Canis lupus familiaris: one gene and its partner. The protein of the gene in region 2 purifies or fractionates together with the protein of the main gene of each other region. This does not show direct contact. Links are inferred from orthologs where the notes say so. Each region holds a gene or a part of one and is shown on either strand. Other genes may lie near its edges. The genes, in order: REEP4 and RETREG3.

The links.
Region 1: the proteins of RETREG3 (region 2) and REEP4 purify together in Homo sapiens (affinity purification with mass spectrometry; 3 studies listed by BioGRID and IntAct, with this or other methods). This does not show direct contact. The link is inferred for Canis lupus familiaris from reciprocal best matches to the Homo sapiens genes RETREG3 and REEP4.

What each region holds. Positions count from the first base shown.
Region 1 is NC_049246.1:35,273,164-35,280,014, forward strand, and holds REEP4 (receptor expression-enhancing protein 4), read left to right. Parts: upstream 1-2,920; 5' UTR 2,921-3,277; coding exon 3,278-3,309; intron 3,310-4,105; coding exon 4,106-4,178; intron 4,179-4,537; coding exon 4,538-4,614; intron 4,615-4,705; coding exon 4,706-4,826; intron 4,827-5,242; coding exon 5,243-5,356; intron 5,357-5,757; coding exon 5,758-5,893; intron 5,894-6,056; coding exon 6,057-6,211; intron 6,212-6,299; coding exon 6,300-6,365; 3' UTR 6,366-6,832; downstream 6,833-6,851. UniProt on the Homo sapiens protein: Microtubule-binding protein required to ensure proper cell division and nuclear envelope reassembly by sequestering the endoplasmic reticulum away from chromosomes during mitosis.
Region 2 is NC_049230.1:20,246,454-20,252,820, forward strand, and holds part of RETREG3 (reticulophagy regulator 3), read left to right. Parts: intron 1-4,064; coding exon 4,065-4,171; intron 4,172-5,782; coding exon 5,783-5,813; intron 5,814-6,367. UniProt on the Homo sapiens protein: Endoplasmic reticulum (ER)-anchored autophagy regulator which exists in an inactive state under basal conditions but is activated following cellular stress.

The DNA of each region.
Region 1 (6,851 bases), on a different chromosome or scaffold from region 2:
TCCTCACCTCTCCCCTCCACTCCACTACTGCCAGCCCTTGCCCTAGGTGTGAGATTTCAAGCAAGTCCACTGAGTTCCGTGGCCCTTGGTTTCTCCTTCTGTGAAGTAGATAAAACCTACTCTGTCAACTCTTGATTCTGCTACTTAGCAGCAGGCGTGGCCTCAGCCATATTATTTCACGCATTTGTATCTCCGTTTCCTCATCTATAACATGTGGATAATCAAGACACTTAGCTGACACGGTTAGTGTGAGATTTACATGCATGAAATGTATAATATATTTGTATATGGATAGCCCATGGAATAGTGTGTCTGACACAGAATTGTGACTTGTATTGGTCCTTGGGACTCCATGAGATGCAGAGGTGGCTCAGAGAAGGGTACTTGTGGGAAAGGAGGCTGATCTTTGGAGAGAACTGCTGTCTGTGGACTAGGGTTTCTTATCCATCAGTCTCAGAGCCCCTGAACCCTATGTCTCACCTGTAGCCTCAGGTGCCCAGACAAACCTGCCCCTGGACGAACCTCACAATGGTGAATCTCACAGGTGCCATGTCTGGGGTTCCACCTCTTGAAACCATATCCATATGCTCTTGGCTTAGCAGGTGCCCCACAGGTCCCCCAGCCACACTATCCTGGGAATTCCTGCTCTGCTTTCTCAAATGGGGAATGGCCCTTCACGCTGTGCCAGGGAGAAGTTGCCAGGGGAAGTGGGTTGAGCCTCCCAGACACATTGGCACTCTGTTGCCCGGTAGAAAGATAAACATCATTCTGACTGTCACTCCCCCTAGGACTCTTTCCAGGGGTGGGAGACACTCCTCCTCTTGAATGCCACGGGGAATGAGGCCTGCTGTATGCCTGCCTGGTCACCTGCCCTGGGGGTCATCTGTGTGTCCAGAGAGTTGCTTAGCAATCCAGTGTAGCTGGGTAACTATGTCAACATCTCATGACCAAAGGCCATGAGAGACAGAGTCCACTCACTCTGCAGAGCTGAGGATGACACCCCTCAGCTCCCAGCCGCACACCCCTCCATGCTGGGCCCTGCTCCCAGGAGCACACCTCTGATGTCCATTAGATTTCCTAGTGCCGTTATGAGGACCAGGAGTCTCTATGTGAGAGACTTTCCCCTCCAGGGTGGTCTTTTGGGGAGAGAGGTCTTAAAGTGGGCACAAGAGAGCTCTTCACCAGCAAGTGAGGGTAGATGCTGAGGTCAGGTCAGGTGACTCTGGAAGGCAGCCAGGGAGGACGTGGTTCTGCAGCAGGGACCAAAGGGAGCACATGCACACAGCCCAGGCACCCTTATCTCCAGAGGAACGGGTGCTCTTCCCTCTACCGCAGCCCCCAGCTCCTCCTGAGCTGGCCCCCTATGGAGTTACCACATCCTTTTTTCTGGGCACAGATTTTCATAACGTCTGTGGCTAGAGATGGAGGGTGGGACTCTGGCTCTTGGAGTTTCTTGTTCTTCCAACATAGGGTAGGAGCGAGGCCCAGGGTGAGGGGGTGGTTAGATGGGAAAGAGGGAGGCCTCAGGGAAGTTTCTCCTGTGGGTCAGTTTCACTGCTAGCTCTCACACCCCACATCACCAATAAAATGGATGATAGTAATTAAGACTACATAATTACCTTGTGTTTATTTATTCCCAGGAAGCCTCCTTTCCCTGGCCCCCATCATTATTTATTCCATCCTCTCAATAGGTGATGGGAATTAACTATGGCTCTAATAAAAAGTAATAACTGTTCAAGTTTCCCATCCCCATGGTTCTAGGTAACTCTGCTGCCAGCCCTGTGAAGCAGGGGGGAGGCTGCGCAGGGTGAAGGGCACAGTCCCCATTGTCAGCCAGAGGAATGGGGCACTGTGCAGAAGAGATACAAAGCATGCAATCCTACACACAAAGTTCTGGAAGCAACCAAGCCTGCCTTCTCCTTTGAGCCTCCCACTTTCTTCCCCATATACACCTGCCCCTGGAGGAGCTTCTCCGTTCCCTCTGGCCTTCCAGGGCTGTGTTCAGAAGACTGATCATTCTGTCTTCATTCACCCATCATCCAGCAACAAATGCCACTAGATGATGTTACTTTTCATCAATGGTGAAAAAAAAAGGGGGGGGGGAGAGGGTGCAATCTTTGTAAAGGTCAAGACCTTGCACACAAAAATTAGCTACTAAGTGGCAATTGTTGATATGATTCAGCTCTCGGGGACATTTGTGTTCTGTCCTCACAGAAATAGGTGGAATTTCAAAGGTCTGGTGAAGAAGGCATGGGTGGGGGGGTGGGGGCTGGGGGCTCTCTGTCCAGAATGTCTCGTGGTCAGTCCGCCCAGGTATGTGCCTCTGGAGAGGTATCCCTGAGAGAAGTCAACTCCTGAAGCCCACTCTTCGGGGTGAGTCTCAAAGGGATGATGAGCCACGCATGTGACGACAGCTCCCCTCTCCCACTTCCTCCCGCTTTCTTTCTGGGTCATCTCAGCGTCACGGAGGCGCTTATGCATCTCGTGCCCCGGAGCTGCGGGACCTGGATCTGCCGGCGCTCGGCCAAGCCTCCCTCCCCTTGTGCGTGAGCCTGGAAGCGGGATCCTGCGCCCGGCCCAGGACTTTTTCCCATTTTACAGAAGGGAAAGATGAGGCAAAAGGGGGAAGCCAGGGAAGAGCCGCGAAAATTGTGGAGTCCAAGTTTCCTCCTCTGCATCTTTTTTGTTGCGGTTTCCCATCCCTTGATCTTGCCAATGCGGGCGGGCTCCTGGACCCGCGGGCCCCCGCGCACGGCGGGGAGGCGGGTCGCCCTTTAAGGGGCGGGCCCCCGGCGTCCTCGCCCCCGCCCCGCCCCCCCGGGGCCGCACTGCGCCTGCGCCCGGCGCCGGAGCCCAGGGGTTGGGCAGCGCGCAGTTCCGTGCAACTTTCAAGTGAGTTGCAAACTCCGCCCCGAGGCCGGTGCCGGTGGCCGGGCGCCGCGAGACCGCGGGGACCGGGGCGAGCGGAGGCCGGACCCGCCCAGCGGCGCGGCGGGAGCCCGACGCCTGGTTCCTGCAGCGGCATCCGCCCAGGAGCGCGGCGGCGAGGGAGGACGCGCCCGCCCCGGGCTCCCGAGTCGGTGCCCCCGAGCCCGGCCTCCGAGCCTCGGCACCGGGCGCCCCACTCCTCCGGCTCCGCGCACCGCAGACTCAGGGGCGGCCCGAGCGCCCCTCTGGTTCCCGCGCTTCCGCCGAGCCCCCGTCCCAGCCCCGCCCGAGCGTCCCTCTGCTCCTCTTCTTGGGGGATCCCCTCCCCCTTCGTCCCCGAGGCTGCAGGATGGTGTCCTGGATGATCTGTCGCCTGGTGGTGTGAGTACGGGTGCCTTCCTACACCTTCTATCCCCAGGAGCCACAGCGCTCCTGATCTGGAACAGGGGGACATCTGATGGCAAAGGGGCCTCCTGTGGGGCTCCCTCAACACTCACCGTGAGGGTTAACGGACCTGCGGGCCTGCACGTGCCATGGGGTACCCTGGCTTGCCCTCCAGCCCTCAAGCCTCCTTGGTCCGTGGCCACCCCTCCCGCAGTCACACACACCGCAGACAGGTGTGTGGGGCCGAGGACTTCAGGCCGACCTGCAGTCCCTTAGCAAACACAAGATGTGGCACGTCGTGGGCGGATGTTCCAGGTGCCTGCTTCCCTTCTGAGCAGTCACCTGACTCACCATCCTGGCCTCAGCCTCCCCATTCTGGCCTCTTCTCACCTTTTAGTACTCCATCTGGCTCCAGTATTCCTATCTGCAACCTGGCAGTGCCAGGTCTGGTGGCCGTGGACCTGATGGCATGTCCACAGGAGCAGACAGCCTGGTGCTCTCACCAGCTCAGCAGCCTGCCTCCCACCCACCTGTGTGCGGCTGTGTGTGTTCCGCTCGATCATGCACCCATAGGCCACTGATGCAGGCCCGGGCAGGCTTGGGGTGTTTGTAAACAGCAGGGTGGGGAGGTGGCCTCCAGGGCACTGACTCAGGCACACATTGTGCAAGCCAAGCGGGAAGAACAGGTAGGCCCTTGCCACTTCACATCTGTGAGGGAGGTGGCCACCTGGTGGGGCGAGGAGGACAGGATGCTGCTCATATTCCCCCTCTGTTTTATGGGCTGCCCTTCTAGGCTGGTGTTTGGGATGCTATACCCAGCTTATGCTTCCTACAAGGCTGTGAAGACCAAGAACATTCGTGAATATGTGAGTGTGGCTGTGGGCAGGAGGGCTTCATTCAGGTCTGGGGGGACTTGGCAAAGTGGGGAGGGTCTGAACTGGCATCCCCTGCCTCCAGGGGCATAAGCAGGTGGCATATCCTAAGCAGAGTGGGTGTGGTTGGAAGGCAGGCGATTGGGGAGCCCATGCAGAATCGTGTGGGTGAAGCTTCTTGGGGGTGGGTACAGAAATGAGTGGCAGTTTCTCAGAGGCAACTCTAGGGCCAACCAGTTGCCAGGAGAATGCAGCAGGACAGGCTCTCTGGAATCTCTGGGTCAGCCTAGGACAGGGGAGTTGGCTCTGCAGGCTCAGCTGTTGGCCTCTGACACCCCCACCCACACCCCCAGGTCCGATGGATGATGTACTGGATAGTCTTTGCACTATTCATGGCGGTGGAGACCTTCACAGACATCTTTATTTCCTGGTATGCATGCAGGGGGCCTATGGGCTGTGGGGAGGTGCTGGCCCACTCAGCCGGGCTCCCTGCTGACCTTGCCCACCCTGTCCTCTGACAGGTTCCCTTTCTACTATGAGATCAAGATGGCCTTTGTGCTGTGGCTGCTCTCACCTTACACCAAAGGGGCCAGCCTGCTTTACCGAAAGTTTGTCCACCCGTCCTTGTCCCGTCATGAGAAGGTACTTCGGGGGGAGTCAGGGAGTGAAACATAGGGGTGGGTGTGAACGAAAGGACCCTGGACTCGGGGTTCAGGATACTGGATGATATCTGGGTTCTAATCTGAGTCCTGTTGCCCTTAGCTGTGGGACCTTGATAGAAAGTAGCCTTTTTCCTCTTTTGCGATAATCAAATGGGAGCACATGTGAATGTGCAGAGCTGGCAGTTGTTTTGGGGACAGTGGGAGAAGGCTGAGCATGGTCATCCCCTGAGGTGGGGGAATGGGTGGGTGGGGAGCCCTGCCCTTGGTGTGGTTGCCAGCGCCCTGTAGGTGGGGGTGGACAGGGAGGCACAGGACGCAGTGGCTTCTCTGGGTCTGCAGAGGAAGGATGACTCCCACTGTGCACCTGAACTCTTCCCCCTTCCCCGCCCTCCACAGGAGATTGACACCTGCATCGTGCAGGCCAAGGAGCGCAGTTATGAGACGATGCTCAGCTTTGGGAAGCGGGGCCTCAACATTGCTGCTTCGGCCGCTGTACAGGCTGCCACCAAGGTGACCTGGGCCCCAGCCCTCCAGCAGCCCTCCCACCCCCAGTGCCTTCTGGGGGAGTCCAGCTCTCTGTCAGGGAGCTGGGAGACAGCACCAAACCATGCCAGGGGACAGGGTAGGAGGTGATGGGTGGGGTGTTGGCCGGAGGATGGAGCTGGGCCAGTGACCGCGAGCGGTAAATCCTGCTCTCTGGGCCTTCATTTCCTGTTGGCAGCACAAAGACATGGACCTAGAAGGTTACTAAGTTGCTTTCAGTTCCGAGGCCAGGGCCCCAGTGATGACCTGCCAGTCAGTGCTTAATTTCCCTGCACAGCTGCCCTGGTTCAGACCTGGGAATAGAGGATGCTGCTAGGATCCCCTGCTCCATCCCTCCAGGTGATGCATCGGCTCCCCCTCTCTTGCAGAGTCAGGGGGCACTGGCCGGAAGGCTACGAAGCTTCTCCATGCAGGACCTGCGCTCTATTCCTGATGCCCCTGCCCCTGCCTACCAGGATCCCCTCTACCTGGAGGACCAAGTACCTCTTCGCAGGCGACCCATCGGTGAGTAGGAGAGAGATCTGGAGCTGTTTGTTCCAAGAGGGATGCTCCTTCCATTTGAGCTGTGGCTTCCCTGGGGATTAGAAGAAGGCGTGGCTGGGCCCCAGGCCTTCAGACTGTGGAAATGCCCAGCTTTGGCTCCCTGGCCTCTCTCTCCTCTATTCAGGGTACCGGGCAGGGGGGCTGCAGGACAGCGACACCGAAGATGAATGCTGGTCGGATACAGAGGCAGTCCCCCAGCCACCTGCCCGGCCCCGAGAGAAGCCTCTCAACCGCAGCCAGAGCCTGCGTGTGGTCAAGAGGAAGCCGCCCGTGCGGGAGGTCAGTGGCCAGGAAGGCGTGAGGGAGGCGGGCTGTCCAGGGACTTTGGCCTACACCTCCTCCCGTTGTATCTGCTCTCTCCCCTCAGGGTACCTCGCGCTCCCTGAAGGTTCGGACAAGGAAAAAGACCATTTCTTCAGACATGAATGGCTAGGATCTGCAGAGCCTGGCCGAGTCTTACGTCTTGCCTTATGGGGTACCAGGGACTGCTTGGAGGGGGCGACTGGGTGCACATCTGACCTGCCTACACCAGCTGCTCAGGCTGTGTCCTCCTGGCTCCTGCTCTCGGTTAGGGGCTGGGGCGGTGCACAGGGATATACCTGTGATGAACCAAAGCAGGCTGGGCCCATGATTCTATTTATTGCCTTTCTCATCCTTATACCCTCTTGGGTGTGTGGGACCAGAGCCCTTCCCAGACCTCTGCAAGTGAAGCCAAAAGTCCACCCAGCTGTGTTCATTCCTTCCTGTCCTTCAAAGTACTTGACAGCCTCCTCTAAGGCCCCGTGTGTGTATATGTGTGTGTGTGTGCGCGCGCACGTGCGCGTGTTCCCTGGTTGTGTTTTGTGTTGGTGAATGAGGTCAGGTTTATGCACATTTTGGTAAATAAACATATAAAAGTGTTCTGTTTGTCCTGGTTTTA
Region 2 (6,367 bases):
CTTTTATAAAACTTTACTGTATCACCTTTATCTGCAGGATAAAATCCAATATGCTTGTCATAAAAGGCCGTTCATGATCTGACTCCTTTTTTTTTTTTTTTTCATGATCTGACTCCTGACGCTATCCCCATATTCATCTCCTCCTTGTGTTCTGTTTCAGTTCTATCAAAACTGCTTGTCGTTCTTTAAATATGTCATGCCAGCGGGCTATTCTCCCTGAGTACCCTCTCCTCCCCACATCCTTTTATCCTGTTTTCTTACCATTTATCTGGGTTTTCTTTTTCTTTTCTTTTTTTCTTTTTTGTATTTTATTTTTTCAGTTATCTCCACACCCAGTGTGGGACTCAGACCCACAACCCGAGATCAAGAGTTGCATACTCCAGTGACTGAGCCAGCCAGGCACCCCATTCTTACTTATCTCTTAAATTCCAGTTTAGATGTCCTCTTCTTTGTTATCGTTAGCTTGTCATGTTATATTGCAAACACAGATAGACACATAAATACACTTGAAAGTAAGGTCCATGTCTTTCTCTTTTCTGTAACTGCTATAACTGGGCTGCATACCTCAAAGCCTCTACATAAAATGAGCACTCAATAAATGTTTGTTGGATTGGGTTGAAACATAGGTGGGAACTATAACAGACTACTAGAATAGTTCAGGTCTTGGATAAAGTATTTTTACCGCCATCATTTTTGGAAGATCAGCCTTTCTTAGAAGGGCTTAATATCCTCTCCCTACCCCACTTTATATTTGTTAGTAATTATGATCTGGGAAGTAGAGATTGCAGACAGTCTGGATTGCCTCCGCAGGGAGCCCTTTCAAGCACTCTGGAGAAAACGGTGGCCCTGCCACATCCTCCTGCTGCCAGGAATGAGAAGTAGCGGCACTGAGGAGCAAAAAGCTCTAGAGCCCTTATCCTTGGCCTTGTTAAATTTGCTTGTTAGTTGGGTTGATGAGTTGGCCTTGGAGAAAAGGTTAATGACTAGGCAGCTCTAGAGGCTTATTTTTGTTAAGCTGCTTTCATTCTTTAATCTCATGTATAATTACAGTGTCCTTTAAATGGTGGTGGAGGGGAATTGGAATAGGGTTATCACTGGTGACTGGAACTTCACTCTTTGTGTAGTTTTTAAAATTACATAACATGGACTCATGTTTTTTTTTAAACAATTTTTTTAAGATTATTTATTTACTTATGAGAGAGAGAGAGAGAGGCGCAGAGACACAGGAGGAGAGAGAAGCAGGCTCCATGCCAGGAGCCCGACGTGGGACTCGATCCCGGGACCCCAGGATCATGCCCTGAGCCAAAGGCAGGCGCCAAACCGCTGAGCCACCCAGGGGTCCCCCCCTGGACTCATGTTTATTGAAAACCAGTACAAAAATATCTAGAAATAAAAAGTTCCTCTGCCAATCCATGAATATGTAGATGTATTCATATGTACACATAGATAAAGCTTTTTTTTTCCATTTACATATAAAGATTATACTCTATTGTTCTGTGGTTATGTCAAGTCATTAGGTAGTGTGGTGAGCTGAGAAAGCAAGAGGTCATTTGTAACCAAACCAACCTTACCCTTGTTTGATCCATTTGCTGTGATAATAGCTAGTAACACTTCTACATTGTAAAATTGAATAGAACTACGTCTTAGGCTTATATTTTCTTGTCTTTTTAAGCAAGATGAAGTATGACTATTAAAATTTTTATTTATTTATGTATTTACTTATTTATGAGAGAGAGAGATAATGAGAGAGCATGAGCAGCGGGGAGAGGGAGAAGAAGGCTCCCTGCTGAGCAGGAAGCCCAATGTGGGGCTGATCCCAGAACCCTGGGGTCACAACCTGAGCGAAAGGCAGATACTTAATGGACTGAACCACCCAGGCGCCCCAAGTATGATATTTTTACAGGGAATTAAGTATGTTGTTTCTAAAACCTACAAACAATCCTCCAAATTCTGTCATTGTTACCACTACATACAAAGAAACTGGAACACGAACGCCTAGGTGGCTTGGCAATTGAGTGTCTGCCTTTGGCTCAGGGCCTGGTCCCGGGGTCCTGAGATGGGAGTCCCACATCAGGCTCTCTGCGGGGAGCCTGCTTTTACCTCTGCCTGTGTCTCTGCCCCTCTTTCTGTGTCTCTCAGGAATAAATATAAAATCTTAAAAAAACAAAACAAAACGAAGAAACAGTCTTTAAAGAGGTTAAGCTAATTTATTCAAAGTCATATGACTAAGTGAGTGTTCAGAGAATCAGACTCAAGCCAGTCTGACTTGAAAAGCTATGCCTACTACAGTCCCTGCTGAACCATCTATGGTCAGGGCCAGTGGTGTCCCTGATCTGTTGCAAATCAATACTTTTGTAAAATGCAATATAAATGAGTTACTAGAAAAATTAAGTTACTAGAAAGTTACTAAATTAAGTTACTAGAAAAATTAAGTTTATTTATTTATTTAAGATTTTATTTATTTATTCACGAGAGACAGAGAGGCAGAGACACAGGCGAGGGAGAAGCAGGCTCCATGCAAGGAGCCTGATGTGGGACTCGATCCCGGGACTCCAGGATCACGCCCCAGGCTGAAGGCGGCGCTGAACCGCTGAGCCACCCGGGGTGCCTGAAAAATTAAGTTTAAAAGACAGAAAATATAAACCCAAATATGTTCTGTGATTCAAGATTACTTGGTCAAATTGCTATAATTTTTTTTTTAAATGTTTACTCTAAATTTTCTACTTGGCTTCCTCACAGACTGACAGAATTAGCTTGTGGGCCAGCACTGTCCTAAAGATACTGAAAGGCTGGTGTAGTACAAAGACTCATAGAACTTGTTTTTTGATTATCTTTTTCCCCCCACATTTTGTGAAAGATTTATTTTATTTATTACATTTTTACTTATTCATTTGACGGGAGAGAGAGTGCAGAAGAGCACAAGCAGGGGGAGCGACAGGGAGAGGGAGATATAGGGCTTTAGTTTTCTTGTATTGTCTTTGTCTGGCTTTGATATCAGAGTAATGCTGGCCTCATAAAATCAATCAGAAATGTTCCCTCTTCAATTTTTTGGAAATGTTTAAGAAGTATTGGTGTTAATTCTTAAGAACTGGCTTTTATTATTTATTTATTTTTTAAAAAAGATTTTATTTATTTATTCATGAGAGACAGAGAGAGAGAGAGAGAGAGAGAGAGAGAGAGAGAGAGGAAGAGACACAGGCAGAGAGAAGCAGGCTCCACGCAGGGAGACCAACGTGTGGGACTCGATCCTGGGACTCCAGGATCACGCCCTGGGCTGAAGGCAGGCGCTAAACCACTGGGCCGCTATTAATTCTAATTAACTAGAATTAATTAAATTCTAATTAACTAGAATTAATTAAATTCTAATTAACTAGAATTAATTAAATTCTAATTAATTTAATTTAGAATGTTGCTTCAGTGCTAACTTTCTGTTGACCTTAATCAAATCATTTTACTGTTTTAGACCTGAGTTCCTCCATCTGTAAAAAGATACCTAATTGAATTACATGCTTTGTAACACATCTCTTATCAGTTTGTTGCCCTACAGTGGGGTCTAATTTGGTAGAAGGGTGTTTGTTTTCATTATAATAAGTTATCAGGGATGAATTTCTCCCTGAAATTAATAGAATTGCAGACTTGAAAGACTTTAAGAAGTTATTTGATTTAGTCCTCTGCCTTTACAGAAGCAAATTATCTCTTCCCCATAAATACAATAGCTGAGGTTCAGAAAGCTTTTTTTTTTTTTTTTAAGATTTTATTTATTTATTCATGAGAGACACAGAGAGAGAGAGAGGCAGAGACACAGGTAGAGGGAGAAGCAGGCTCCATGCTGGGAGCTCGATGTGGGACTCAATCCCTGGTCTCCAGGATGACGCCCTGGGCTGAAGGCAGGCGCTAAACCGCTGAGCCACCCGGGGATCCCCTAATGTTCAGAAAGTTTAAGTGATTTTCTTAAGGTACGTAACTAGGACTTAAGTATGTTTACTAAAGCCTGAAGTATACAGATGGTCCTTTCCGAAATTAGCTTAATTGAATAATAATCTTCTGTTTTTTCTTCTCTGTAGGTTCTTTGCACTGACATCCCTTCGTCTTGTGTTTTTACTTGCATTCAGCTCTATGATCATTGTATGTATAGACCAATGGAAGAACAAAATCTGGCCTGAAATAAAAGGTGAGTTTGATAGCATTTAGAACAGTCTGAACTGGAAATGGTCTTTCCTTTAATTTTTACCTTTAGTTTTGGGGGTTTATGAGGGAGTGTATAGAACTGGGAATATCTTTTGATGTGTGAATTACTTGTTTTAGGAGACACTTGAAGGGCTGGTGCTCCATCGGTAGTTCCTTACAGCTGCATTCCACCTTTCCCATTGTTACTAAGCTCAAGAAATCTGTATCCACCACCTGAGATATTCTTGCCCTTATAATTGGCCAGAGGAATAAATAGTCTTCAAGTTAAAAAAAATAGATAGACATATCTACATCATTGGATACTGCATCTTTACTGAGGCAGTATCAATTTGCCTCTCAGGAATTTCTTTTAAATTGCTTATTTGCAAAAAACACTAAGCTAAGCATTGTGATTCATATAAAGTAAGATACGTTTCCTTTTCTCAAAGATTATATAGGCACAAACAAAAGACCAGTGAAATGATAGCTACAGAACAGTACCAGAGATGTCACTGTGTAGTATGTAATTGGTATGTTTGTCATGTATTTTGGCCCTGGTTCAGGCCTTGAATGAAGCAAGTGACTTGAACAAGTGAAGAGAGAAGTGGTGTTTCTAGTGGCACCAGTAGTTCGATTAGTCTGAGAAACCAGAAGCAGCAAAGCATCTCCTGAGAACAAGGAATTAGTCACTTTCACCAGAATGAAGAGGTCATTAAAAGGAAATAAAACTGATAATATGTTGGGATTAGATTTTACAAGGCCTTCAAGTTAGGCCTAGAAGTTTAGGCTTAATCCTATAGGTAGTGAATGATCATTGAGCATTTCTTTTTTAGAGTTATATTGTGAGGTGATACAGAAGATTGATAGCATTTTACAGGATCACATGGAAAGAAAAGGGAAAGAGGGAGACTTGATAGGAAACTATGACTGTATCTGTGTGAGAAATAGAGAGGTATTCATGGAAACAAACAATGGGTGGCTTGGAGAGCTGGGAAGAAGAAAGATACATTAAGACTGATAAGTAGGGAATTAGAAGAATAAGGGATAAACGCCATTGAAGTGTTGGCAGGATATTTACATGAGAGTATATAGCTTTTAAATACATTCCCATCCTATTTTGCAAAGACTTTAAGGAATCATGTAGTTCATCACCTGTCTTATGGCTGGTGAATGTCAAAAGATGACATCATTCATTGTAGTTAATGCATCTCTTTTTAAAGAGAAAAGGCAGATTTCTGGATTTGGAGTAGTTCTAACATGCCTCAGTAACCTGGTGCACATTGATGTATGTGAGCAGCCAAGACACCCTTGAGGGGTAGGGTGGATCATTTTTCTTGTGCACCTTGGCTCTCAGTTGTAGTAAGTAGAAGGGACCCTGATGTTCCATTTGGATCCCCTCACCCGCCCACCAGAGAAATGAGCAGGCATCAGCCATCCTCCCCATGTCTGCACTCCCCTAACTCTGTCAGTATAACCTGGTGTCTCCTTTTTATTGGCTATTACTATTTTCTTTTCCCCAAACCTATTAAAACTCGAGCTGTCAGACCAACAGCCTAACATTTTTATGTTTAGTTTGCCCTACCAACTAATGCTGGTGTTTGTTTTAATATTGTAGTGCCAAGACCCGACGCATTAGACAATGAGAGGTATGGAACACTAATTAAATCCCTTTTTGTTGCTCTGATTGATTCTCTTGTTGTAATATTCTGGTTACATGTTGTTAACTCCATGTTATGGATACAGAGTATGAGCTGAGAACCTAGTCTGTTCCGAATAATCATCTTAACAAATCCTAAAGTTCAGGTAGCAAGTTGAGATTGCTAGTGTCCTCTGCTATTAACAAGAAAAGTTTCTGAAAAGGAGCATTATAGTGCCCTGTAACCTGATATGCCAAGGAGTTAGCTGCATTTTTTAGCTCTACTGTAAAAACTTAGAGGCAGCTTATTTCATTTGTTTCCTGACTTTTATTCCAGATCATTTAGTGTTTTCTGTGACCTCTAGCTTTTTAAAAAGTTTCTGGTCAGAAAACACATTGGTTCCTGGCATCAGCAAGCCAAAGATTCCTCTTGTGTCTTACAGCTCTTGCTTTCATTTCTCAGTTCATTCATCCCATATGTTTGATCCAAGGAATTTCCTCTGCTATGGTTTATTTTACTTTTGCTATATTTATTTTCTGAGGGACACATCTACCATTGCCTCC